Tamandua tetradactyla: one gene and its partners. The protein of the gene in region 1 purifies or fractionates together with the protein of each later gene. This does not show direct contact. Links are inferred from orthologs where the notes say so. Each region holds a gene or a part of one and is shown in the gene's direction. Other genes may lie near its edges. The genes, in order: FAF2, UBL4A, SETDB1 and DERL1.

What was found.
Region 2: the proteins of FAF2 (region 1) and UBL4A purify together in Homo sapiens (affinity purification with mass spectrometry; 3 studies listed by BioGRID and IntAct, with this or other methods). This does not show direct contact. The link is inferred for Tamandua tetradactyla from reciprocal best matches to the Homo sapiens genes FAF2 and UBL4A.
Region 3: the proteins of FAF2 (region 1) and SETDB1 purify together in Homo sapiens (affinity purification with mass spectrometry; 3 studies listed by BioGRID and IntAct, counting the BioPlex papers as one, with this or other methods). This does not show direct contact. The link is inferred for Tamandua tetradactyla from reciprocal best matches to the Homo sapiens genes FAF2 and SETDB1.
Region 4: the proteins of FAF2 (region 1) and DERL1 purify together in Homo sapiens (affinity purification with western blotting; 4 studies listed by BioGRID and IntAct, with this or other methods). This does not show direct contact. The link is inferred for Tamandua tetradactyla from reciprocal best matches to the Homo sapiens genes FAF2 and DERL1.

What each region holds. Positions count from the first base shown.
Region 1 is NC_135346.1:57,868,013-57,875,327, forward strand, and holds the start of FAF2 (FAS-associated factor 2), read left to right. Parts: upstream 1-4,305; 5' UTR 4,306-5,039; coding exon 5,040-5,102; exon of another isoform or gene 5,103-5,261; intron 5,262-7,315. UniProt on the Homo sapiens protein: Plays an important role in endoplasmic reticulum-associated degradation (ERAD) that mediates ubiquitin-dependent degradation of misfolded endoplasmic reticulum proteins.
Region 2 is NC_135353.1:6,801,566-6,807,664, reverse strand, and holds UBL4A (ubiquitin-like protein 4A), read left to right. Parts: upstream 1-4,522; 5' UTR 4,523-4,572; coding exon 4,573-4,620; intron 4,621-4,752; coding exon 4,753-4,858; intron 4,859-5,105; coding exon 5,106-5,326; intron 5,327-5,445; coding exon 5,446-5,556; 3' UTR 5,557-5,577; downstream 5,578-6,099. Other genes in the region: SLC10A3 (P3 protein), read left to right, coding at 2,148-3,569. UniProt on the Homo sapiens protein: As part of a cytosolic protein quality control complex, the BAG6/BAT3 complex, maintains misfolded and hydrophobic patches-containing proteins in a soluble state and participates in their proper delivery to the endoplasmic reticulum or alternatively can promote their sorting to the proteasome where they undergo degradation.
Region 3 is NC_135330.1:4,640,175-4,647,467, reverse strand, and holds the start of SETDB1 (histone-lysine N-methyltransferase SETDB1), read left to right. Parts: upstream 1-4,277; 5' UTR 4,278-4,409; intron 4,410-4,415; exon of another isoform or gene 4,416-4,487; intron 4,488-5,820; 5' UTR 5,821-5,831; coding exon 5,832-6,091; intron 6,092-6,596; coding exon 6,597-6,748; intron 6,749-7,293. UniProt on the Homo sapiens protein: Histone methyltransferase that specifically trimethylates 'Lys-9' of histone H3. H3 'Lys-9' trimethylation represents a specific tag for epigenetic transcriptional repression by recruiting HP1 (CBX1, CBX3 and/or CBX5) proteins to methylated histones.
Region 4 is NC_135332.1:167,569,848-167,577,231, reverse strand, and holds the start of DERL1 (derlin-1), read left to right. Parts: upstream 1-4,379; 5' UTR 4,380-4,665; coding exon 4,666-4,818; intron 4,819-4,978; exon of another isoform or gene 4,979-5,106; intron 5,107-7,384. UniProt on the Homo sapiens protein: Functional component of endoplasmic reticulum-associated degradation (ERAD) for misfolded lumenal proteins. Forms homotetramers which encircle a large channel traversing the endoplasmic reticulum (ER) membrane.

The sequences.
Region 1 (7,315 bases):
ATGAAGTATGTAAAAACGTGGATGGACTTGACATTATGCTGAGCGAGATTAGCCAGAAACAAAAGGACAAATACTGTATGGTCTCACTGTTATGAACTGACATTTGTGAATAAACTTAGAGAATTTCATTGGTAACACAGACCATCAGGAGATAGAAATAAGGTAAGATATTGGGTAACTGGAGCTGAAGAGATACAGATTGTGCAACAGGACTGATTGTAAAGACTCAGAAACGAATAACAATACCACCTAACTGTAATACAATTATGTTAAAACACTGAATGAAGCTGAATGTGAGAATGATAGAGGGAAGAGGGCTGAGGGCACAAATGAAATCAGAAAGAAGGATAGATGATAAAAACTGTGATGGTATAATCTAGGAATGCCTAGAAAGTATAATGATAGTGATTAAATGTACAAATTTAAAAATGTTTTGCATGAGGAAGAACAAAGGAATGTCATTACTGCAGGGTGTTGAAAATAGATGGTAATTAATATTTTAAAATTTTAACTTATCTGTGAGTCTAGAGCAAAAAAATGTTTTTTTGGTACAAAATTTATATTTTGACTAGTGCAGTTCCTAACATAACTTATGTGGACAGCTTAATTGAACACTGTATGTACATGGAACCTTGAGTAGGGCATAAGATTTGGTAGGTTTGTCCAGAGTGATGCCCTAATAAACCTCAGAGTGATTTGAACAGTGAGTAAAAAAGTATTTGCAAAGTCCCCTTGGGGGAATGGTGAGAAAGGGGGAAATTTCAACTCTCCCCAAGTGGAGAATTCTTGATATTCTCATAAGCAGTGGGGACAACAAAAGCAATAGGCTGAGTCTCCAATCTTGGGGCTTGTTCATACGAAACTTAACCCCACAAAGGATAGGTGAAGCCTACTTAAAATTAGGCCTAAGAGTCACCCCCAAGAGAACCTCTTTGGTTGTTCAGATGTGGCCTCTCTCTCCAGCCAATACAACAAGCAAACTCATCACCCCCCACCCCCCGCCGTCTACATGGGTACATGAGACATGACTCCTAGGGGTGTGGACCTTCCTGGCAATGTGGGACAGAAATCCTAGAATGAGCTGAGACTCAGCATCAAGGGATTGAGAAAACCTTCTCAACCAAAAGGGGGAAGAGTGAAATGAGACAAAATAAAGTATCAATGGCTGAGAGATACCAAACAGAGTTGAGAGATTATCGTGAAGGTTATTCTTATGCATTAAATAGATATCGCCTTGTTAGTCAAGATGTAATAGAGAGGCTGGAGGGAACTGCCTGAAAATCTAGAGTTGTGCTTCAGTAGCCATGTTTCTCGAAGATGATTATATAATGATACAGCTGTCACAATGTGACTCTGTGATTGTGAAAACCTTGTGTCTGATGCTCCTTTTATCTACCTTATCAACAAATGAGTAAAACATATGGAATAAAAATAAATAATGGGGGAACAAGCATTAAATTTAGTAGATTGAAATGTTAGTGATCAATGAAAGGGAGGGGTAAGGAGTATGGTATGTATGAATTTTTTTTCTGTTTTCTTTTTATTTCTTTTTCTGAATTGATGAAAATGTTCTAAGAAATGATCATGATGATGAACATGCAACTATGTGATAATATTGTAAATTACTGATTATATACGTAGGACGGAATGATCTATGTTAATGTTTGCATTTGTTTGTTGTTATATTGTTAAAAAAAATTTTAAATAAAAAAAAATGGCAATTCTGTCCCTGATTCAGATAAGTTCTGAAATCTAGAAGGCCCAGCCTGTCGAGAACATCAGATAGTTTCATCTCCTTAACCCCTATATTAGTGTTAGACCCTTGCAATATGAAAAAGTTAGAATGGCCATAGCCCAAACACCCCTAAAGAGAGAGAAAGATCAAAGGTGATGGTGGAGTTATACAGTGACAATAGGATTTATCAAATGAATATGAATGCTGAATCATTAAACTGATACCTTTTTTAGTCTCGAGTATCTTAGAGCAGCTAGAATTAAAAGCCTAAAATCGTGGAATTATAATCCATGTCAAATTCTGAAATATGTTCTACAACTAATTGTGGTGCTGTACTTTGAAATTTATTGCTTTTTTGTATACATGTTATTTTTCACAAAAAAAAAAAAGGAGAAAAAGTTGATTGTGATGATAAAAAAAATTTAAGCCTTCTAGCCTCCTATATTCTGGAGCAGTTAGAAGGAAAAAAATCTGAGGTGATCATATGGCAGCCCATGACAAACTTTGGGATCTGCATAGTAACTACTTGTTGAACAGTGCTTTGAAAACTATTGCTTTTTTTATTTCTTTGCTTTGTATACATGTTATACCATACAATAAAAAAAAAAAATACAGACAAAAAAATGGCAACTCTGGTCTCTCACATGGAAGCCGTCAGCTATAGCTAAAAAGCAGCAACTACCTTTGGACAAGTGTTCTAGTTTGCTAGCTGCCGGAATGCAACATACCAGGAATGGAATGGCTTTTAAAAAGGGGAATTTAATGAGTTGCAAGTTTACAGTTCCAAGGCTGAGAAAATGACCCAATTAAAACAAGTCTATAGAAATGTCCAATCTAAGGCATCCAGGGAGAGATACCTTGGTTCAAGAAGGCCGATGAAGTTCTGAGTTTCTCTCTCAAGTGAGAAGGCACATGGTGAACACAGAGTTTCTCTCTCATCTGGAAAGGCACATGTCAAACACAGTCAGGGTTCCTCTCTCATCTGGAAGGGCACATGATGAACATGGTGTCATCTGCTAGCTTCTTCTCATGGCTTCCTGTTTCATGAAGCTCCCCAGGAGACATTTTCCTTCTTCATCTCCAAAGGTCGCTGGCTGTTAGACTCTGCTTCTCGTGGCTATGTCATTCTGTTCTGCACTCTCTGAATCTCCCATTTTTCAAAATGTTTTCTCTTTTATAGGACTCCAATAAACCAGTGAAGACCCACCCAAATGGGTGGAGACATGTCACCTAATCCAGTTTAACAACCACTCTTGACTGGATTACATCTTGAGGGAGACGATCTAATTACAGATCCAAACATACAGTATTGAATAGGAATTATTCTGCCTTTATGAAATGGGATTTAGATTAAAACATGGGTTTCCTAGGGGACATACATCCTTTCAAACCAGCACAACAAGTAATGGCTGGCCCTCCAGTTTTCCATCTGGTGTCCCTTGCACTAGGCAAATTCTTACAGTAGAGTTTTAAAGAACAAAAACGAAACATTTCCTGTAACCAAGTCTTTATCAAAAGATGAAAACAGAAAGACAAGAGGATATATGCTTCAGGGCGGGCCACGGTGGCTCATGCCGGAGAACTCGGTTCGATTCCCAGTGCCTGCCCATGCAAAAAAAAAAAAAAAGAGAGAGAGACTATATGTTTCTTTGAGGAAATGAAGAACATTCAATGGTGATGAACAGAACTACAAAGTATTTCTGTTGAATGAATATATCTTAAACAAACAACAAGCCAAAGAAAGTTAGGATTGTGATTTGCCCTCTCTGTGCTTCACTCACTTATGTGACCTGCCTGACTCCGGAGGACATCTGACTTTGAAAACCCACATCTAGATTGTCTGGACCCAACCTTATTGGAAATGCTGACTAGCATCCAATCTCCCTTGAGTTTCGAGTTGATGGAATAAATTCCTGATGTTAACAGCTGTTTCCTTCCAAGCTAACCTTAAGGGTCTAAGAAGAATGGCCAGGAACATTGTTCGCGAGGTTTGTGGAGACCTGTTAAAATCTGATACAGGCCTGTAAGGAAGTGGTCAAAATCCAAGCCCTTTAATCTCTTAGTGTACAATTCCAGTACTTCAGTTTTCAAAGCGCTTCCTACCTTCTGTCACCTGGTGAGCTTTACGAAGCGGGCAGGAGCAGGAGTCACCAGATGAGGGCACACCGGACAGTGGGGACCGGGAGGCCAAGCGCCCTGCTGGAAGTCACACGAAAGCATGTATCAGACCCAGACCTCTCTGCCTCCCCAAGCCTTCCGGAGGGTGGCAGGTAAACGGCAGGAAAGAGAGAAGTGGAAATGGAAAACAGGGATCTGCGAAGAGGAGGCAGGCTGGAAGGGGCAAGGAAAGGGCAGGGGAGAAAGAGATGCAGGGGGGTATACGGCCCTGGAAACAACCTAAGGGAAAGGTCTTCTTGTCCGGAAGGTGAGAAGGTGATAAGCAGAGGCGGCTCGTCTGAGGCTGTCCAGAAACCTCATTCCACCAATGGCAAAACGGAACCCAGAGATGAGGTGGTTTGCCCATTTCTGACAGCAGGGTGGGTGGGAACTAGAACCTAAATCTGATCCCAGTCCAGGTGCGAGAGAGACATGAGAAGGCATGAGGCAGGCAAGGAAAGGGAAAGGCTCTACCGCTAGCTGGTGAAGCCGTTAGCTGTCAAGGACCCACAGGGGTTCAAACACCCTTAGCAAGCGACTTTGAAGTTGCCGCTTAAACGCGACCAAAGCCTCCCGCAGTTTCCGGGTGGAACGCGGCGTCGGAAATGCCCCACCGGCATTCGGGGACTTTTCGGAACGTCCCGAGAGACGGTCAGGAGCTCGAAAATCGAGGCAGAGCTTTTGGACACGTCAGAGCAGGAATCTAGCATCAAACTGCCGCCGATAGTTCAGAAACTGCATTTCCTGAGAAGCATTCGGGAATGTCCAAGATCACCGGGGAATGGTGAGGGAGCAGGAGAAATGAACCGAATGACACTCGGGAGTTTCCGGAGCTGTTCGAGGCCCATTCGGGATCTCTCGGCTCTTTGAGACCCATTCAGGAGTCTTAGGTCTCTCGTTGCTCCGTTCAACGCCTGTGTCGTGCGGACGACGCGTGCTAAGTCCAAAAGCGTTCGGGATCGGCCTGAGAGTGGCGCCCTCCGACGGCGGGAACTGTCACCACTTCTGGCAAGGCCTCGGTCGGGGGGCCAGCACGCGCAGACGTACTTAGTCCCTGGCGGCCGCTCGGCCCGGACGTGGTTGCCGTTGAGGTCATTTCCGGCGGGTGACGGTGCGGACGGGTCAGAAGCGTAGAGGCGGCGGCAAAATGGCGGCGCCTGAGCAGCGGGATCTAACCCAGGAGCAGACAGAGAAGCTGCTGCAGTTTCAGGTAGCAGCGACTACTTGGTGCGGCAAACGCCGCGGTGAAACGGGGGATGGGTTCCCCGAGGAGCCCAGAACCCTCCTTAGATTGGGCCCAGGCGGGATCCTTCTTAGATCAGCCGGCAGCCCCCTCCCCCCCAGATGCCAACTGCCCTGCATCCCTGGTTTCCCCGAGGCCCGGATCCTCTCTGGGTGCCCGGCCGTCCAGCCTCTTTTCCCTATCTTTTTATCCTTGGCGGGTCAGTTGCCTCAGGTTTTCCTCAGCGGCTCCCGTCCTCAGCCATCTTTCCCAGCCGGGCTACCGGTCGGACCCTCTCCGCCCAGCGCCTACTCTACAGATGTGTCGGAGGTGCTTAATCCCTCCCGCGGAGCTGGCTTCATTTCGGGTCTATGAAAAACTTCCTACCTGCAGGCCCTGTCTGTTCCTCCTACATTTACTGCTGGCCTCATGGCTGTCAGGTTTCCTCTTTGGTGGCGGAGAGGGCGCCTGTTGGCGGGTCTGGCCCCTCACCCTCAGAATCTTAAGTATTGACAGCGGCTTCTGAAGGAGCTCATTATTCAGGATTTATTCCTGGACTACTGTGCTTGACTGTGCCTAAGGAGGGTGATAACTTGCAGGGGTCTGCCTCCTTTTATTGGCTGTTGTGTTCAGTACATTTGGCACTAGGCATTTATCTCAGAGCTTGGAATCTGGTTGGAGAAGGCCACTAGGGTGGGTAACCTTGGCTGTTTGTTACCTTGGTGGATACCAGTTTCCTTATCTCTAAACTGTATATCTTAAAAATGTCTCCCTTCAAAGGATGTTGTAGAGATCAAGTAAGCTTATGGAGTCAGAAGTACTTTCTAAACTGTAAAATGCTCCCAACAATCTGCTGCCGTTCATTATTATTTAAGAAAGTAAAATTAGTGGTACACCTAGTTCTGCAATATTTATCAAGAGCCACAGTGCTCAGGCACTGTTAGGTACAATACCATTTATTGAGCATTTACTATAAGCACTTTGCCAAATGCTTAGCATACATTATCTTATTTAATACTCACAATAACCCTATGAGGTTGATACTGTTAGAGTCCCTGTTTTACAAGTGAGGACTCAAAGGCTTAGGCAGTAATATGCCTAGGTTACACAACTAGTAAGTGGTGGTGCTAGATTGAAAGTCAAGTCCATCTTTTCAGAACCTTTCTCTGGCTCTTCTGTGCTGTGCAACCTATATGTAAGTTTTAGTGTATAGCTGAAGGAGTGGAATGCAAATACTGTGATGCTAAGTTGTGCTGTGTTTTTTCATGTGTGCAAGTTCTCACTTTAATGTAATTTCCTTGAGTAGATTTCCCTATACTTAATTTTGAATTTTTTTGTCTTCCCTCATGGAATGGGTTCAAAGTATATAAAAGGAAAAACGATTGAAGAATTAGCTGACATTTGTTTAGAGTTTTTGAATAGAGAAATTGATGACACAGCAAATTAGAATCAAAGATAGATGAACAGTGGACAACTAGCTTCCATTTTCTACTAGATCACCCATTTCATTGGGAAGACCTTTTTACCCTTCTTACAGGGGTAAGTCCCAGTGTTTTAAGTGTAATGAGTTGATGTAAGTTATAAATAATGATGTGCTTGGTCTGGTATCAGAAGAGCATGAATATGTGGTAGTATTTCTGAGGTAAAGTGCATAAAAACTTCCATTTTGTTTTCGGTGGACATCTAGATCAGTAAGAGAGGTGGGTAGTAAGTTAAAGTTGTATTAAGGTTGCTTTATGAAATTGGGTTTAAGGAGGAGATACAATTTGCATTTATATATTCTTTTATTCACCTCTTGATCATATTCATCATTCAGATTACCATTAAACATTCTTTGAAACTTACTAGGTGTCAAGTGTTATACCAGGTAGTTTAAATCTCTTATTAACTCTGTAAAGTGTTAACCCGTGTTTATTTTATTAATGAAGTAACAGGTTCTGCAAGGTCAAATAATTCACACAAGTAGTAAGTGACAGAGGTTTAGAAATCCATATCCATAGCCATCTTACCTATAACCTTATGGGAGAAGCCAGATTTAAACACAGATAATGGGTATCCTGCAAGGTATTAGTGCTTGTGATGTAAAGTGGTATGAACACAGTGCTGTGAGAGCTTAGGAACAAGTCAGAGTAATTATGGTAAGGGGGAAGAAGTATGTCTTATAGTTACCTTTTATTGAGAATCTGCTATGCCCTAGGCAT
Region 2 (6,099 bases), on another chromosome or scaffold:
GAACCCAACCCGGACGCGAGAGGTGAGTGGTCCGCCGCGGGAGGGGGCGGGCACGGGGGCGGGGCCTCGAGGCGGGGAGGGGCGGAGCCCCGAGGGCCGAGCTCACAGGCGTCCGGCGGGCCCGGCAGGCGCCGGCGCCGAGCTCCGCGGCCGCGGAAGGTGAGCGCCTCCGGGCCGGGCGGGGGGCGGGAGGGCGGAAGGCCGCGTCTGGCCCCAGCCTCGCTCCGGCGCCCCGGCAGGACCGGGCCGGCCACCTCGCAAGCTCGAGGCCCGGCGCGGCCGTGGGTCCCGGGAGCGGGACGAGGGCTGCCCTGACCCCCGCGCTCCCACCGGGTCTCCCCGATTGGCGCCCGGGAGCGAGAGGCAGCTCGGACCCCGGGGAGTGCTGGGCGAGCTTCCGGAGCCCCAGGTGGGGAGGCTCCCGCGACCGTCGCCGCCACAGCCCGGCCAGGGGGGACGACGCCTCAGGGGCCCGGCTTCCACAGCGTGCCCTGCCATGCCGCCTGGCCCGACCCCGCCGGCTCTTCTGGCAGAAGGGGTCTGGGGTCTAGTCTGCGCGGTGACTGAACGCCGCCAGCCATTCCGGGAAGATGGGGGCATGGGGGTGGGTGGCCCGTGGCCCCTCTCTCCTGTCTGAAATGGTTTGGCACCGCCCTGGTGGCTTCGGTCCAGGGTGCCTTTATCTTGTCCATGTGAGTCTCCTCCAGTCCTCTGATTTTCCAGCATCCCTCCCCACCCCACCCCCATCCCCACCCCGTGGGACTCAAGGTTCCACCAAGGCCTCGGGGTGGGTGACCGAAGCTCCCAAACCAGCAGAGGCCGTGTCATTGTGTGTGTGGGTGGGGAGTGGTGGTGACCTATTTGCCTCACCTATCCTCCACCCCACCCCCACCTCCCCCTCCTCCCCAGTCTCCAATGTGGCATAGGCCAGGGCCAAAGAGTACTAGAACTGGGGGAACAGGTGGCGGCTCTTCCGTGACCGTGACTCTGTGAGGTGTGAGGCAACTGAGAGTCCTGTCATGCAACTGTCCCCATCCTGTTTGCCCCAGTTCCAGCAGGTGATGTGACAATAAGGCAGTGGTTGTGGAAATCCAGAAGGGGAGGGAGGAAAACCTGGCCCTTTAGCTCTGAGCACCCCTCTCCCCATCACCCCTCACCCCAACACACTCACAGTCACATTGAGAGTTAGAGGCTGTGGCCAGAATGCGTGAGGGGTGGGGTGGGGGGAGAGGAGTGTCTGCATTCTGAGCAGAGCCTTGCAGATACGATATTGCAGCTCCAGAAGCTCAAGTTCTGGCACTGCCAGAGGTGTGGGGGCTATGTGGGGAAAAGGAGAAGTCCCAGGCAGACATGTGGCCCTATCTGATCCCCTCCTGCTGCTCCTTCCAGCAACTTCCCCAGGGAAAGGGAACCTGCCTTTTCTGCTGTCCACAAGGAGGGCAGCCAGGTAGCCACAGCAGCAGCTTCCCCAACCATGTTTCTGGGGGCCTTCTGGTGGTCACTCACTGCCCACATGGTTTTGCTGACTTCGCTGTGCCCCAGAAATGATGCTCAAACTCCCTGGCCCACTTGGTCGAAGGTGCCCAGGTCTGGCCCGACCAGCATTTCCCAGCAGCAGCTTTTGCTTTTGTCATCTCCAGGAAGCCTTTCAGAGACTTCACCCAGGTTGTGGGATCACTGTGGCCCCAAGGCAAAGGCGGTGGGGGACAGGCACACGTAGTTTAGTTGGAGTGGTGCCAGGACTGGGGTGACTCCCCTTGACTCCCTTTGACTCAGGACATCTCTGCACTGTCACTGCGATAGGCCAGGCCAGGGACATCCGTGGAGACCGGCAGACTGAACAGAACCCCTGCCCCTAGGTGCCCCTCTGGGCAAGGCAGCTATGCCGGGACAGGGGACAGCTTGAAGAGATTCAAGGGCCAGCAGCGGGCACTGCCCTTGTGTTCCACATCCCCCAAGCTGCCGGTACCCGCGGAGGCATGCAGTCTCCCTCACCGGCTTCCTCTCTGTGTCCCCTCTGTCCTCAGGGAGAGCACACCATCAAGGAAGGCAGCACAAGCCAGACCTCGCCCATGGCCCCTCCCCAGGACGCTCCTACGGCACCAGCTGGGCTGCTCTCCTAAGCCCAGGAGGGCCCGGGAGAAGCCATGCTGTTAGGGAGGGCCAGCCCCAAGGGGCACCAGGCCGCGTGGTGTCATTGCACAGGCCCCCTGGCCATGTTCAGGGCTACCCTGCTGCTGGCCAGCCTGCCATGGGGGGTCCGAGGGACAGCCGGGGCCAGCCTCGGCATGGCTCTGGGCCCCACCGGGCCGCTTCCGGGGGCCCACTACTTGAACATTGGGGATGGCTCCGTGATGGAGTTTGAGTTCCCAGAGGAGAGCGAGGGCATCATCGTCATCTCTAGCCGGTACCCAGGCCAGCACAACGGGACAGGGCCCGGCCCCACTCTCAGGGTCACCTCCCTGGACACGGAGGTGCTAACTATCCAGAACGTGAGTGCCTTAAGTTGGGGAGGCGGGCGTGGCTTCGTGGTGAGCATCCGCTCCGGCCTGGCGGGGCTGGCCCCACTGCACATCAGTCTCCTGGACCACCGGGAGGCCCAGCCCGTGGTGATTGAGGAGCGGAGAGATTTCCGCATCAAGGTCTCCCCGGCAGAAGACACGCCCACCAGCCTCAGCACCGACCTGGTCCACTTCTCGGAGAACCCCCTGCTCTACCTACTCCTGCCGCTGATCTTCGTCAACAAGTGTTCGTTTGGGTGCAAGGTGGAGCTCCAGGACCTGAAGGGGCTTCTGCAGAACCCCCAGCCCATGCTGCTTGGCCTGCTGGGCCAGTTCCTTGTCATGCCGTTCTACGCCTTCCTGCTGGCCAAGGCCTTCATGCTGCCCAAGGCCCTGGCGCTCGGCCTCATTGTCACCTGCTCTTCACCCGGGGGTGGGGGGAGCTACCTCTTCAGCCTTCTTCTCGGAGGGGACGTCACCCTTGCCATCTCGATGACGTTCATCTCAACGGTGGCCGCCACCGGCCTGCTGCCCCTGTCCTCCGCCATGTACAGCCACCTGCTCAGCATCCACGAGACGCTCCACCTGCCCATCTCCAAGATCCTGGGGACCCTGCTCTTCATCGCCATCCCCATCGCGGCAGGGGTGGTGATCAAGTGCAAGCTGCCCAAGTTCTCCCAGCTGCTGCTGCAGGTCATCAAGCCCTTCAGCTTCGTCCTCCTCCTGGGCGGCCTCTTCCTGGCCTACCACATGGGGGTCTTCATCCTGGTGGGCGTCAGCTTCCCCATTGTGCTGGCCGGCCTCACGGTGCCCCTGGTGGGCCTCCTGGTGGGCTACTGCCTGGCCAGGTGCCTGAAGCTGCCTGAGGCCCAGCGGCGGACCGTGAGCATCGAGGTCGGGGTGCAGAACAGCCTGCTGGCCTTGGCCGTGCTGCAGCTGTCCTTCCGCCGCCTCCAGGCCGACTACGCCTCCCAGGCCCCCTTCATCGTGGCGCTGAGCGGCACCTCGGAGATGCTGGCCATGGTGGTTGGCCACTTCATCTACAGCAGCCTGTTCCCAGTTCCCTGAGCACCCAGCTTCCAGCAACCCGAGGCCCCACGGCCCACCCACCGTCCGCGTGTACCAAAGGCCTTTAGTTCTCATGCACTATGCACTCAAAAAAAAAAAAAATCCAGGCTTATTTTTTGTACCGATTTTTTTATTCTCCAGCTTTCAGTGCCAAAGAGGCCACGCTGCGTGAGGGCACTGCCCGGCAAAACGATATTTCAATAAAAGAGAGAAAGCCAGCTTGGGTCCCTTTTGATCTTTGCCCTTTGGGGGCCGGAGGTGCCGGGTAGGTGTGCACCAGGGTGGAGGGCCGGCCAGCGGGCGCGGTGGCCTGAGCACAGGTGCCCCCGGGTCCTGCCTGGTCTGGGCATCTGCAGCTGCGGAGGGCAAGGAGGCTGCGCTCAGGCCTTGGTTTTTATGGGCGTCGGGCTCTTTCAGGCCCCACCCTCCCTCACCCCGTGAGGGGTGGGGCCTCGGGGTTCTCGAAGACAGCGGTGGGAGGATGGGGCTGGGCAATCCCCGCCTGCTCGCAAACTCAGCTGGGTTTTCCACAGCTAGACCAGAAAAGGAGTGGGGGTGGGTGCGGGGGGGAAATAAAGCAATCGGGACGCGGAGCTAGCCGGGGCAGGGCGGGGCGGCCCTCCCCTCCAGTCACCCCGCTCGCACTGCCTGGGCCCAGAGCAGGACAAGCTCGCGGACTCCGGGAGAGGCAGCCCATCGGGCCGCAGACGGCCAGCGCGGTCGCGGGAACCTGCCACCTCCCCCTGGCCCGGCTCCCCGGACGGGGCTCCCCCTGACCCACCTCGAGCCTCCTCCTCCCCCAGCAGGGCTCTGCCCCCAGCGCGCGCGCGTGGCCGTGGCCGGGCGGCCGGCGGGACTCCTCCCCCAGGGGGCGGGGCGAAACGGGGGCGGGGCCTGCTTCCGGCGGCGGCGGGCGGTTCCGGCGCGCTCCCGGGGCGGCGGCGGCGGCGGCGGCGGGCGGTGAGGGCGCGCGCGGGCCGCAGTGGACGGCGCGGCGGCCGCCATGCAGCTGACGGTAAAGGCGCTCCAGGGCCGGGAGTGCAGCCTGCAGGTAGCGGCGCGCCGCGGGACCCGGCCCGGGTGGGGACGGGGCGGCCGGGGAGCCCACCCCCGCGCGGCCCGAGGCTGGCGGGCTCAACCCCGGCTCCCACCCCCACCCCCCACCCCCTTTCGGCCCGTCCAGGTGTCAGAGGACGAGCTGGTGGCCACGCTCAAGCATCTGGTCTCCGAGAAGCTCAACGTCCCCGTGCGCCAGCAGCGGCTGCTGTTCAAGGGCAAGGCCCTGGCAGGTAACCCGGGTGGAGACACCCAGGGAGCCCCGCAGGAAGTCGGGGAGCTGGGTGTCAGAGGCCGCGCCCTGCCCCCCGGCGGGCGCCGAGTGCCCTGCTTGACCCTCGGGCGCCGAAGCAGGGTCCCCAACCAGGGCCTCCTCGGTGTGCGCTCTTTGGGGTGGGCAGCACTTCCTCGGGGGCGCCCCCGCTCTCCCCCGCACCCAGCCATAGATGGTAAGGCACGCCACCCACTTGGCTGTGGCAGATGGGAAGCGACTGTCCGACTACAGCATCGGACCCAATTCCAAGCTCAACCTAGCAGTCAAGCCCCTGGAGAAGGTGTTGCTGGAAGCAGACACGGCCCGGAGACGGGCCGAGGCGCCGCCTTCACCCCCACCCCCCGCCACCTGGCAGCTGATCTCCAAAGTCTTAGGCCGACATTTCAGCGCCGCAGATGCCAGTCGGGTCCTGGAGCAGCTCCAGCGGGTGAGAACTGCATAGCATCCCCACGCCCTGGGCCTCCGGTCCCTCCAGTCCCAGCTGCCTCCAGACCTTGCCTCTGGCACCGCCACCCCCCTGAGTCCTCCTGGCCCCTCTCTCTTCAGGATTACGAGAGGTCCCTGAGCCGCCTGACACTGGATGACATCGAACGCTTGGCTAGCCGCTTCCTGCACCCCGAAGTGACCGAGGCCCTGGAGAAGGGGCTCTCCAAATAAGGGTCTTGGAGCGGGGGGGTGGGGGTGGGGGGGGGTGGGGGGGGCAGAGCCGTAGCTGCATGTTGCATGAAATGTGTTCTCAGGTTGCCACGTGGCTCATCATAGTAATAACAGCCCACGCCCCACTCAAAACACTTGGCCTGGCTCGCCCACGGACCCCTCAGGAGAGGCGGGGATAGCCAGGAGCCAGCCTCTTGAAGTACCTCAGGGTGAGAAAGCAGCAAGTGGCTTCCAAGGCTTCCAAGGGACAGGCTTCGGCACTCAGTGCTGAGCCCACCGCAGATGCATCTTTGAGCAACTCTTCTCCTAAGCCCGAAAGGGGAAGCCACTGCCCAGGAGCCCAGGCCTGCCCTCACCCCTATGGGAGGCCTGGCCCCCACCCTCAGCCTCCCCGGGGCTGCTGTGGCCAGTGTGCTCTCAACGAAGGGAAAGTAGGTGGGGGGCTCTCGGGTGGGACCTTGGGCAAGGCCCTGTGCCATACTGGCACCCCCAGCCATTGACTCTGCCTGATGAGGGCCCCCCTGTCCGTTTAAGTCCCTCCTT
Region 3 (7,293 bases), on another chromosome or scaffold:
GAGATGATCAGAAAAGACTTATTGTAAAGGTTCCTAGATTGCAGGCTCTTACAGCAGTCACATCTATTCCTGAGAGTTCTTTGTATATAACCTGGTTGTTCCCTGGAATTTCAGGTATCTGTGTGAAACTTGCGCCTCAGAGCTACAGTTCTGCAGCTATGAAAGTCAGCATTACCCCATACTGCAACTGCTAAAAAAAAAAAAAAAGCTGAAAAAGAAGTCAGCCTTCAATTAAAGACATGAACAAAGCTGATCTGGTTAGGACTAAGGTCAATCAGATGAAAGGTTAAAGGATGATATTGACTGTATTTTAAAACTTCAATTTCTGTGTGAGACCAAAGGAAGAGATATTTATTTGGTGCAAAATTTATATTTTCTATGGCACACTATCTAATTTAATTTGTATGGGCAGTTTATTCGAACACAATAATTACATGGAACCTTGAAAAGGGAGTGAGACTTTGTTGGTTTGTACAGGTTAGTGTGATAATCTGATACATCCAGAGTAACCTGGTACAGAAGATTTAAAAATCCCATTGAGGAACTAGGGAAAAATGTGGAAATATTAAAACTTCTCCACTTGGGGAAACCCTGCTTCCTCACAAGCATTTGTGTGCTGGTTTGAAACTGTTATGTACCCCAGAAAAGCCATGTTCTCTTAATCCTAATCCAATCTTGGGGATGCAGACCCATTGTTTGGATGGGACATTTTGATTATATTATTTCCATGGAGATGTGACCCCGGCCATTCAAGGTGGGTGTTAGTTAATTTACTGGAGTCCTTAAGGAGCCAACACAGACAGCAGACATAGACATTTGGAGATGAAAACAGAAATACTCTGGGTGCTGAGCAAGAACTCACAGAAATAGCCAGAACCTGGAGAAAGCCAAGAGAAGCTGAGAGATGAAATCCAGAGTTTGCCTCAGAGAAGTTTTAATGTACAAACAAATCAGCCTGTAGGCTTATTAAAATGCAAATTTGGATTTGGCACATCTTGAGCAGGACTGGAGATTTCGAATTTTGAACATATTTAGTATGTTGAGTATGCAAGGCCTTAGAGCATGAACCTTTACAATGAGACTTTCCTGACCATCTCTGCTCTCAAATTCAATTTTCAGAGTATGCACATTGTAGTTAGTCCATATAAGTGATGCATTATACTATCTGTCTTTTCATTACTGGCTTATTTCACTCAACATTCTGTTCTCATGGTTCATTCACCTAGTTGCACAACTCATGCTCTAAGGCCTTGCATGTTGAGTAAGCAAGGCCTTAGAGCACACTTCCTGCATCTCTCTGCTGATTTCTACAGGACTGACCACTTTAGCTTTCTGGGCAATGAAGAAATCAAACTGGAATATGATGCTCCAAGCAGCTCCTGTTTTTCCTCACCAGACCCACCTCCCCCACAAAGACACTGGAAAGCTGCAAGAATCTAACGGAAATATACTTAACCAGGGCATAGCAAAGATTTCCCTTCATTCAGCATACATTAAGGGGCCCCCTGTGTAGGTGCTAGGAGAAACAAAGGTCATTAAGACAGACTCTTGAGTTGATCACAAGCCAGAGGAAACAAACATACGCAAGTCAACTCACTAGCGGAATGAACTAAGGCAATGGAAACACAGAGGCAGGAATTAATCCTGCAGGGGTGAAGCATGGAAATATGTGCAGATATAAAATTTATAAAAGTGTCTCACATAACCGTGGGAACGTAGAGTCCAAGGTCTGTATGGCTGGCTGCAAGCTGGCAGCTCCGATGAAGTTCCTCATGAACTCTTAGGAGAGGCTAGCTGGACAACCACAGGAATGGATGACTCCAAAATCCACAGGGCAGGCTGTGCAGCTGACCACTCCGATGGAGGGTCTGGACAAACTCCACAAGAGAGGCTCGTGGGCTGAAGCAGGAAGATAGCTGTCTCTTCTGAATCCTCCTTAAAAGGCTTCCAGTGATTAGATTAAGCATCACTCATTGCAGAAGACACGCCCCTTGGCTGATTACAAATGCAATCAGCTGTGGGTGCAGCCAACATGATCATGATTTAATTGTATGAAATGTCCTCATAGCAACAGACAGGCCAGCACTTGCCCAACCAGAGAAACAGGTACCACCACCTAGCCAAGCTGACACATGAACCTGACCATGATAGTGGTCTAGGACAGTTACTCCTTTTTGTTTAGTTTTTTTTTATTTAAGGAAACAAATAATATACTTAAAACCAACAAAAATGAATATCTAAGTTAGCTTAACCATAGGCATAAATAAAGTGTCCATATAATTATTGTAAAGCCTGTGTTTGCACAAGTTTCATAAATCAGTTTAAAATTAAGGCAACAAGAAAAAAAATCTACATATTCAGATAGCAAAGTTCTTAAACTCTAAGTATTAAAAACTAAGATATCATTTGATCAGCTGTCAAAACTGTGAATGTTCTCAAAATATCTAGTAGAAAGTTCTTACAAATATCTGCATTGCTATAGTAATGATCTATATTACTAAATATTTTCCTCATTTCAGGAAAATATAAATATACAAATATTTTTACCATTGACATATGGGAATCTTAACCACCTAAAATGGATATCCTAGTTAGCTTATCTACAGGCATATTTAAAAAAAACCTAAGGAATCATCATAAAGCCTGTTTGTACAATATGTTTCATAAACCAATTTAAAATTAAAGCAAGGAAGGAAGAAAATCTATAAATACAGATATCAGAGTTACTTGAACTGTAAACATTAGACATTATCTTAAATACCATTTGATTAGGCATTCTGTATGCACTCTCAAAATATCAAGTAAAAAGTTATCACAAATATCACCTTTGCTATAGTAGTGATCTATGTTCCTAAATATTTTCAAATTTTTATTTCAGGTGTTTATTTTATCTAGTATTACTATAATTGCCTATAGTTTTTTTTAAACCATTTTTAGTTGTAAAATATAACATACAGAAAAGGAAGAAAAAAAACAATTTTCAAAGCACACTTCATAACAAGCAGCTACAGAACAGGTCCCACAGTTTGTCACGGACTACCATGCCCTCATCTCAAATTTTTCCTTCTACTGCTCCAAAACACTGGTGGCTTTAACTTGATCACAGTCGTAAAAATGGAATCATACAGTATCTGTCCTTTTGTGTCGGACTTATTTCACTCAGCATTATGTCTTCAACGTTCCTCCACATTGTCATATGCTTTGGGACATCATTTCATCTTACTGCTGCATAATATTCCATCACATGTATATACCACATTTTGTTTATCCATTCGTCTGTTGACAGGCACCTGGATTGGTTCCATCTTCTGAAAATTGTGAATAGTGCTGATATGAACATCAGCATGCTCATGTTTTAAAACAGAACCTTTAAAAGGAAGTGAGTGACATGATCAGAACCACATTTTAGAGCTACATGTAGAATTAATCTACAAGACATGCCGTTTAGGAAGCTCTGGAAGTTTTCCTGACGAGAAAAAAAGAGCTAAAAGAAAAATAAAAATAATGTAGAGGAGGAGAAAGCTATAGTAAACATTTCCAAACTAGGACAAACAAGTATTAATGTTTCAAGAGAAGATCTTTGCTAATCAGAGTGTGAACTGTTACCTTTTTGCAAAGTAATTTCTACTAAAATGAAAAATGTACCTATCTTTTGCTCGAGATTCCATTTTGGGGAATCTTTTCAACAAAAAAGTACTACTTCAAAATAATGTTAATGTTTTGCATTGTTGCATTGTTTGTAGTGGCTGAAAACTGCAAACTAAATTTCTAAATATGGTTTAACTATACTACGAACTACTATATAGCTGTCAAAAGGGTATTTTACCTTTATTAACGTCAAGGGATATACCCATGTTAAGTGAAAACAAAACAATTTCCATACATGAATGTGTATGTAAGCGCCTCAAAGGAGTAGGGGAAGTGACGGCGGAAAGGGGAGGAGATTACATTTTTCTAACTACATCTTGTTACCTTTCGACTTGCTAAATTCCTACGACTTAAGTAATAATACAAATTCAAATAAAAGTGAGAAAAGAACTCTAAATCTAAGTGTTTGCCGAGTGAGTCTTTACACGATAAATGTAGCTCTGTCGCTACCAGCAGAGAAGCACCGCAGGATTCTTCAAAGTACCGGACCCGCGAGCAAACGCTTTTCACGTGTGCGGTAGCCGACTCGGCTTCACGCATGCGTGGTTGCCTTAGTTGGCCTAGACTCTCTGGGGACTCCGCGCGGCTTTGGGTTTGACCCCGTCAGGCTACCGTCGCCGTGACCGGAACAGTGTTTAAGGTTTACTTCCGGGCGTGTCTGCAGCTTCCCCTTCCCTCTTTCGCGTTTCCATCCCTCCCCCTGCTCCCTTTTCCCTTCGGTTTCGTTGTTTCCTTTTCCCGTGGAGGCCGATCCCTAAGTCGTAAGTCTAGGATCTGGTTGGTAAAGCAGAGCTTTTGGAGCGGGATGCGGGGAGGTTTGGGGTCTACTGTTAATTGAGGTATTCGGAGCCTAAAGGCCCGGGTGGGATTTTTGTTTGCGGGAGGAGGTCGGGTGGGGGTGAAAAGGAAGTTTCCCCACGAAGCGAGCGTGGGCGGGACTCAGCCTGGATTGCGGGTGGGTGGAACGTACCCCTAAAATGGGTAGCACGGGGGAGGGGCGAGTGTGAGGAAAGGAAAGATGGAGGACAGAGAACTGGCATAGAATTCAGCATCAATCTTTCTTTAAACCCAGAATTCGGTATCAGTCCTGCTTTAAACTTTTGATCGAAAAAGAATTTCATACTAACGAGGGTTATTTTGACTGTGAATTTTATTTGGTAGCCATATTTTATTCCCAGACTAATTTATTTCTCTTTCCTTCGAAGAAACCTCTTTTTGCTACACGCTTGCCTGTGCTTACGCATTGTAGCCTTTTAAGGGGCATTACAAACAACAATCAAATGTAGATGTACATTTTCTCATGGAAGCAAAGTAGGGGAATCAAGTGTAAAGTAAGCTACAGATAATCTTTCCCCGATTGAGGGTATTTGTTCAAATTTGGCATAATATGTAGACATAGTTCTGTTTCATTAGTCAAATAAAGAACATATTAGGTCAAAAAGATTGACCTGTAGATTGATTCTCTTCAGTTTCCTAAAACATTTCAGTAGCTCCGTATTACAAAATGAATTAAATAAAACTTATTCAGTGGGACTCTCACGTCATTCTGCAATACGGCCCCCAAGTTAGCTTTTCAGCTTCGTATCTCACCACCACCTATGGTTTACCCCCAAACATCCGAAGTTGTTGAAACGCTTTCATGGATTTTCCCCACGTGGAATGCCTCCAACTTAATTTTAAAGGCTCATTTCAAAAGCTCTCTCGCTGGCTTAAATGTTACATGTTACATGTTAGATGCTGCATAAAAAAAAAAAAAGAAAGGACAATGTAAATATAAGCAGTTCCTGACATTTGGTAATATACTGATATGAGATGCAGGTACAGAACTTGACAGCTAAAATAAACATTTATATGTTGTGAGTTTTAAGGTAAGATAACTAGATAGCCTATGGGATCATGTTCTCCATGCCCTCCCAAAATTTTAAATCAATCCTCTTAGTCTGTAGTGTGAGCTGAGAACTCTACAAAATCTCAGCAACAGGTTCTGGAGAATTGGAAGAGAGAATATAGAATCAAATTTAACTGTTTTTTTTTTGTTTTTTTTTTTTTGATAACAGCACAGTAGGAATAAGTCTATTAGTAGGAATAAGTTCCCTATTAGGGAACTGAAATTCTTTATTAATTGTGGTGATAATGACCCTAAAGGTAATTTTAGTTTTCTGTTCCATGCAGAGGACAACAGGATGTCCTCCCTCCCTGGGTGCATTGGTTTGAATGCAGCAACAGCTGCAGTGGAGTCTGAAGAGATTGCAGAGCTGCAACAGGCAGTAGTGGAGGAGCTGGGCATTTCTATGGAGGAACTTCGGCAGTTCATTGATGAAGAATTGGAAAAGATGGACTGTGTACAGCAACGCAAGAAGCAGCTAGCAGAGTTGGAGACATGGGTAATACAGAAGGAATCTGAAGTGGCCCATGTTGATCAGCTCTTTGATGATGCGTCCAGGTGAGGACTGCATGAAAACGAGAAGGAACTCTCTCCGTTGGCGTTTTTTAAAGTATAATTGTTCATGACACAGTGCCAAACACATTATGCTTTACTACTTTTTTCCCTAGTAAGATCACCTAAGGAGTGAGGATTGTCATGAGTTTCTGACTTATGTGGTTATGGAGCATTAATGAGTTCCTAAAACTTCTATCAGCTTCTAAACCCCAAAAAGATTAGTTTCTGGTGCCCTCTTTGTCACTGAGAACATATTTTCAAATAATCACAAAGTAAATTATGAAGTAAGGTTGAAAAGACTTTGAACTTATTTTCCAGATTTTCAAGGAACTAGTTTGGAAACCATACCACCATTTAAAATGTTTTTCTATGGTAAGCATTCCAAATTCTAAACAGACACTTTGGAATATGGTCTGTAAGTTAAGGGCAGTCTATATTTAAATATATATAAATCCTAACGACTCTTACACCTACCTTCTCTGCTTTTCTACATATATTCCAATATTAGGGCAGTGACTAATTGTGAGTCTTTGGTGAAGGACTTCTATTCCAAGCTGGGACTGCAGTATCGGGAAAGTAGCTCTGAGGATGAAGCTTCCCGGCCTACAGAAATAATTGAGATTCCTGATGAAGATGATGATGTCCTCAGTATTGATTCAGGTAAGAGATAAGGCTTTGGATAGGGAAGTTTCAAAGATTGAAGTTGAAACTCTGAAAGAGGAGCAGATGAAAACAGAAGAGGAGAAACTGTTATCACTAACTTCATATTCCAAACTACCTGACTTGCCTGCTAGAGGAAAAGAATAGAATATTGTTAGCATAATAAATACAATGTCTAATTGCATTGTCCTCCTTTCCCTATCCTGGATAATCTCTATTCTGAATTCCCTTGCTTTTCTTTGTAGGTGGCATTAGTGCCTATGTGTGTATAATTTACATACCATAAAATCCACTCATTTTAAGTGTATGGTTTGAATTTTAGTAAATTTACACAATTTTGCAACTTTCCCCACAATCCAGTTTTAGAATACTTGGATTACCCCTAAAAGTTCCCTTGTGCCTGTTTCCCATCAATCCCCATTTTCACCCCCAGGTACCACTGATCTGCCTTCTGTTGCTCTAGTTTTTCCTTTTCTAGAAGTTTTTTAAAAACAGAATCATTCAGTCTGTTGTCTTCTGTGTCTGGCTTCTGTCATGTAACATAA
Region 4 (7,384 bases), on another chromosome or scaffold:
CCAAGGTCATAGAGCTACTGAGCCAAGATTCAAATGTAGATCTGTCTGGCTCCATTATCTCACTCTGCCATACCTATGTTTTTCTGCCTCTCATGCACCAGATTTATATGTTTTTTCCAAAAGACTGCCTTGGACCAGAAAATGATTGATTGCTAGCCTGGGCTACAAATCTTTGGGAACCCGTATAACAAGATTCTGTTCCATTCCCCTTGTAAAAAAGGACTTATTCATACATTAAAGGGAGTGTTGCTCAACAAATGGTTCTCAAGAGCACAGAGGAAGTGGGTCTAGGGCAAAGTGTGGTAGGAATGTAGACACGGCTAGTTTTGCCTGCCCGGCCCTCCCTCCCCATACTAAGAACTGCACTGCTCTCATACAACACTTTTTTAGCCCACCTGGGTCACTGTGATTGGCCCAGGGTGGGGCTTGACTAAAGAGCCAATCAGAGCCTTTTGCTTGGATTTTTGAGTATAAGACCAAGAACAGCAAGTCATAGTCCCTCTCTGGTAGTAAAACCTGGGGCTTGCCAAAAGCAGTGGCTTCAGCGTTGTGTAGACAGCCGATCTGAGAGAGGCGGACTGATGCTCAGGCAAAATCAGAAAAAAAAAAAAAAAAAAAAAAGAGATGGAAAGAGAGCATCCTGGTAGCATTTACATCCATGATTCTGATTGTTCCAGCAGCACCACTGGCCTCCTGTCCTTCCTGTACTATGGTTACTCTAGCTAAAACATTGCTTTTATTTCTAAAGCAGATGGAATTGGAAGAAAAAGAGATGGAAGGTTTTAGGAACTGGCATTACATGAGCTGAATTTGGAAGGATGAATAGGGTTATCCAGGTGGAGGAAAAGTGAGGAGAGGAAACATCATCTATAGAAAGGTTTGTGTGTGTGTGTGTGTGTGTGTGTGTGTGTGTGTGTATGTTGGGAAACAGCATGGTGTCTTCCAGAAACGGGAGGAGCTCAGTGCAGTGAAAGCACAGACTGCACTGGGTGTCATTATGTATGTAACATGTATGTAAGTGCTGAGCACTTAGAAAGCCCGCGATGATGATGATGATGATGGTAGTTATTTTTATATTACTGCCAAGGTGAAGGGTATGAACATAAGAGTAAGAATATGCAAAAGTCATAAAAGGACCTGGACTGCCATTATAAAGAGTTAGGATCTTGTCCTTAAAGGTTCTAGGGAAACTTGAAGTGGTTTCTGGATACATCCTTCTAACTGCAGTGGGAAGATCACTTAAAAAGACTTTGAGACTTGAGGCAGAAATAGGGTAGTTGCTGTTCTAATTGAAATAAAGAGTGTTTAAGTGTTGACCAACTCAGTCACCTTGGAAGGAATCCAAACTGGCAACAGTTAAATGTCAAGGTTTTATTGACACCTTGTGTAGGAAAACTGACATTGCAAAGGAAACACTTCTATTTCATCAGTAAAAAAGAATTATGTGTCATACAAGCTAACTGATGCAAACCCAAGCAACATTTGCCATTTTCTAGATGACGTGGTTATTTGGCCTTATCAGGGGCAGAAGGAGGCAGAAGCCACTGCAAGTGAACTATGACATAGTGCATCAGTACCAACCCTCCCCCCATTCTACTGTGAGTCAGAATAGAAAAAGCAAATCAAAAGCATGTGTTCAAAGCTGCTTAAATAAATATTCATGGCTAGGTGTTCTCATAAAACATACATGAAAGCAACCAAGGGCAGTGCTTCATGTATAATCAAAAGGATTTGGCATCTACAGCTGAGCTAGGACAGTATTCAGAGGAGAGGGGAAAAGTGATGTTGTGTCTTGACACGTAGTGAGATCATTCCCAAATACAATGAGAAAATTGCTTAGATAGATGAGGCTTTCTGAAAGGCGTCCTTGAGACTAAAGGAAGGAGAATAGAAAGTGAAGCTCCCTTTTCTGGTTTGCAGTCTACTGGAATGCAATATACACCAGAACTGGAATGGCTTTTATAAAAGGAATTTATTAAATAGTTACAAGTTTACAGTTCTAAGGCTATGTAAATGTCCAAACTAAGGCATCCAGGTAAAGATACCTTAATTTAAGAAAGGCGGATGCATCTGAACATCTCTGTCAGCTGGGAAAGCAAGCTAGTCCCTTGCAGGTCCCTTGCTCCTGGACTTCATTTGGCCATTTGGGCCTCTGTCCCTGTGGGGATTCCTCACTTTGCTTCTCTGGGATTGGCTTTCATCTCTTGACTTCCCTTGGCTTTCTCTGGGTTCTGGCTTGCTTAACATTTCACTCATGGCAATGTCTGCTGGGCTCCAAGCATCTCCAAACATCTGTGTCTCTATTCTCCAAATATCGGTATCTGTGTCAGCTGTGCTTTGAAGTTTCTGTTGGCTCACTCTCTGTCAACGCCAAGGTTTCTGTCGTTTCTGGCTCTCTCCCAAATGTTTCCTCTTTTAAAGGATTCTAATAAACTAATAAAGACTCACCTGGAATGGGTGGAGTCACATCTCCTTCTAATCAAAAGTTCACACCCACAATTGGGTGTGTCATATCTCCATGGAGATAATTTAATCAACATGTCCACTGTTTATACAACATTGTAGTTTTTCTTTTATATCAATATTGTCTTCCTAAGGTTGTGCCACTTTATACTCCTACCATGTATGAATGGGTTTCTTCACATATTCTCTGCATTTAATATTTATTAGGTCCCCAAATGTTGTTTGTGTTCATTGGGCTGCGGAATAGTTACTGTCTTCTTATCCTGTAAATGCTGATTTTGTTAATATCATGGACATGGTGCTAAGAAATGTTATCTAAAATCACAAACTGTCAAAAACTTTGTGGTTTGAACTTAAACGTGTGTGAATGGAACATCTTTCTCCTGTCTGGAGGAGTTGAGCCATTTGGGTTGCTTTGATGTAGTATTTTCAATCCAGGTGTAAAGCCTTGAATAATAAGATTTCAGGCCCAGTATTCCACATTTATCTTAACTTTGAGGTTTCTAAGGGAAGAAGACTCTGGATCTGTATGGTGGTTGGAAGCTGTACGTATCCTGGAAAAACACATGCTTTAATGTATTCCTGTGGGTATGAACCCATTGTAAGTAGCACCTTTTGATGAAATTACTCTGGTTAAGGTGTAACCCACCTCAATCAGGATGGGTCTTAATCCTATTATTGGAGTCCTTTATAAGCAGAGTGAAATTCAAACAGACAGAGAGAAAGCCAGAGGGGAAGCAGCCAGAAGCTGAAATCAACAGACCTGGAAGGGGAGAAACCAGTATAGCCATCATGTGTTGTGCCAAGTGACAAACCAAGGACCAAGGATTACCAGCAGTCATCCCCAGAATGTCAGTCTTCCGGGAGAAAGCATCAGTTTGATGATGGCTTGGTTTGGACTTTCTTTTAGCTGCAAACTGTAAGGAAATAAATTTGAATTGCTTGAGCAGCCTAGAAAACTAAAATAGTCTGCTTCCCACTTTAGGCCTAGGCCTGATGTTAACCCCATTTACACAGAGCCCTGCTTTGCTTTGAACATAGCAAAACACTTGATTTAAATTTACCAAAAACTCTATCTTTCCTCATAATAACCAATAATAGCCCTGTCTTGTTTTGTTTGGTAAGATAGCCCAGAGTTCTGCTGGTGTGCAATCTCCTTTGTTTAAAACAAAGTTTATAAATCTTTGTTGCACTACAGGAGTGTTCCTGCTGGTATTATCACAGGGCTTTATCAATTCTGAGCTGTAGGCTCGAAATCTGAAAACAAAAGAAAAAATTCCATCAATCTCTTTTTTACAGATTTAAAAAAAATTAAACAAGATGAACTTTCATGTGCTTGTAATTTAAGTCTTGCCTAGTGAACTACATGAACATCAAGATCATTTCTGTTTTCAGTTCCTCCAACACTCCAAGCAAGGTGGAGCAGCTGTTTACATGAAAAACTCTTCCCTTATCTTTGCCTGGCTGGCGCAGCCCAACATCATCTCCTCAGAGGAGGACTCCCTGACCATTCTCATCTAAAATAGTCATCTTTCCCCACAGCCTCCCCGCCCCTGCCTCAGTCTACTCCATCACCCTATTATATTCTCCTTATCACTATCCAAAATTATCTTACTCAATTATTTATTTGCTCATTATCTGTCTATTCCTAATAATGTAAGCTCTAAGAGAGATGGTACCATGTTCTCAGCCTGGTACTCAGTAGGCCCTCAACAACCATTTGCTGAAACAACACAAACACGCGGTAACAGCTTGCTTCCCTTTAAATACTTACCACGGTGGATCCACCTGCTTTCTATCTCTGGCGGAAAAAAGGTGGAGGGTATCCGGCCTCGCCATTGGCTGAAGCATTTGTCGTTGCTCCAGACAACCACTGTTTCCCACCAGTCCTGCCTTCGCCCCGCCCCTCACGGCTCCGCCCCGTCCCCAGGGCTGCGGACCCGCGACCCAGTGGTAAAAGTCACTCTTGCCCTTTAAGCGGCGGGACTTCTGGTCACGTTGTCTGCGGCCGCCGGAAGGGGAAGTTTCCCCTCGGAACGCTCCCTCGCTTGTCCGAATTCGGTGGCGCCACGTCCACCCGTCTCCGCCTTCTGCACCGGGGCTTCCCTCTACACCTTCCACTCGCGGAGCCGGCCGCGTAGGGAGGGAGGCCAGGACCGGAGTCGGGCGGCTGTGCACATCCTGGCTACCTGAGTGACGAAGATGTCGGACATCGGGGACTGGTTCAGGAGCATCCCGGCCATCACGCGCTACTGGTTTGCCGCCACTGTCGCGGTGCCCTTGATCGGCAAACTCGGCCTCATCAGCCCGGCCTACCTCTTCCTCTGGCCCGAAGCCTTCCTCTATCGTTTCCAGGTACTGTCCGGCTCCTGAGTCAGTGGAGACTACAGGCCCCAGGGGGCCCCGCGGCTGCGAAGTGTTTGCCAGCAGGCTGCGGGCGCGCGGTGTCTGCTGGGATTCGTAGTGCATCAGCTCGAGGGGGTTAGGGCGGGGTCTTGGGCTGGAAGGGAGGCCGAGGGGTCTGTAACGAGGACCTGGAGAGCTGGACACGTGGGTTTAGTCTGGTAGGAAGGGACCGACCCTGTCCTTGTATTAAGATTGTGCTCCCCACGCTCCGCACTCGGTGAAGGAGGCAGTGAAAAGGTAAGTCAGTGACATTTGTCAATATTGGATACCGGTGTTGGGACCCCCAAAACGCCAAGGTTAGCAGTCTGGGTGGGACGACCTGGAGCACATGCCTTTTACCTACATCTGTCACCCACGTGGGTGGCATGTAGGTTCCAACTTGGCAGATATCGAAGTGATCAGTCCTTTTCATGTTAAGGGAATTTTTTTTTCTCTGTAGGAGGTCAGAAGTTCAGAGGTGTTTGTTTAATCTGCGTCTCCCTCAGTTTAAACTACTGTTGACATGTAGTAGTTTAATGTACGAATGAATAAAGAGTAAATTGCACCAGAAATGGGAGATGCTGTTATTTTCTTAGGCCTGAGGAAACAATGTAGAGTGTTCACCTGGTAAGAGAATGTTAAGTTACTGGGGGTTATTTTTATTCACCTTTTTTAGTAGTTTAACTTTAATTGCTTGTAGGTCAGATACCAAGATTTGAGATTAAAGTCAGTGAGTGCAGTATTTAGCCCGAGGATAGCACTCATTTTTGCTTCTCCTCACTGGCTACTTAGTCTCCTTTGCTTGTCCTCTCCTGACCTTTAAATGTTGTGTTGTGCTCCAGGGATCAGTTGCAGGACCTCTTCTCTATATTCTGCACCTGGGTGATTTCATTCAGTTTGGTGGGTTTAAATACTTTTTAAACTGAAGACCCCCAAATACAAATACAGATATATTTCAGTCCAGATGTCCTCTTTTCTAGACTTGTAGATCCAACAGTCTATTTGAGATCACCACTTGGATGACTAACAGGCATCTCAAACCTGACATGTTCTAAATGGAATTCTCCTGCCTTCTGTTTTAGAAGTAAATAGCAACTCCAGTATTACAGAAGCTCAAGCTTCTGTAAAGTTTTGTAGTCATCTCTGACGTTTCTTACTGTCACACTCCACAATTGCTCAGCAAATTATGTTGAGTCTACCTTAGACATCGCAATCCATTATCATCTTCCAATTTTATTCCTTTCAATCTTTTCTCCAAACAGCTGGAGTGATCCTGACAAGTCCTGTCAGTCCTCTGCTCCGAGCTCTTTGTGTCTTCTCAGATGGCAGAGTAAAGTCTCAGTCCTTTCAGTGGCCTGCAAGCCCCCCAGCTACTTCTCTGACTTCATCTCCCACTCTTCTCCTCCTTGTACTTTAGGTTCCACAGTGGCATCCTTGCTGTTCCTTCATCATATAATGATCCCTCATCAGGGCTGTTGCACATGGTGGTCCCTTCTTGAGGAAGATAACTGTGGCTCTCTGCTTTATCTCCTTACCTCCTTCAGGTTTCTGCTCAAATGCCACCTTGCCAGTGGGGCCTTCTCTGATAGCCTTACATAAAATAGTACCTGTCCTTCACACTGTCTCCTTTACCTTTACTTTTCTTTGCCATGTATCACTTCTTAACATTTGTTATTCTGCTTCCCCTCAGAGTGTAAGACTCTATGAGAGTAGAATCTATGTCTTGTTTACTACTACCTTGTTCCCTAGACTAGTACCTGGCACATAGCAGGTGCTTATTTATTGGTTAAGTGCATGGATATTGGGTACCAGCTGTGTGCTGGGTACTGATGATACAATAATGAATGGATCAGAAGAAGTTCTGGCTCCCATGAAGAAAATAAAAGAGAGGCCTGTGATGGAGAGTGGAGTGTAATATTTGACAGTGTGGTCCAGAGAGGTGTCAAATAAGGTATTTGAACTGAATCCTGAGTAACAGCAGCCAGCCTTGGGGAAGAACTTGTTCTGGGACAGCCTTCCAAGAAAAAGGAATAGGAAGTGAAAAGGTTAGGGGCAGTAACAAGGAGCAGACGACTGAATTGCTGGTGAAGTGAGCTGTAGGAATGAGGCCCAGTAGATGAGGACAGGAAGATAGTCAGGGGTATGTGCAGTAAACTGAACTTGGAAAAGTAGGTCAGGGCCAGATCTTATAGGGCTTTCTAAGGCCATGTTAAGTGTGTTGAAGTTTATTTTGAGGGCAAAAGGAGTTTCTGGAGGCTTTTGAGTGAAGGACTGACAAGATTGCCTTTTTTACTTCATTGGGTGGACTCCGTGAATGTGTGTGCATGCGCGGTGGGAGAAGGAATGGAGGTGGGGGTTGCCTACCATGGCGTGTGCACACGTGTGTGTGTGTCTGAGAGAGAGAGGGAGGGAGAGCGAGCGCACTTTGAAGAGGGATAGGTAATGGGGTCAGAGAGGAGTTAAGGTAGGAGGCAAAAGAGATAGTGAATTTTACTCAGGGTTGGCTCTGAAGTTGGAAGTGGACAGATTTGGGAGT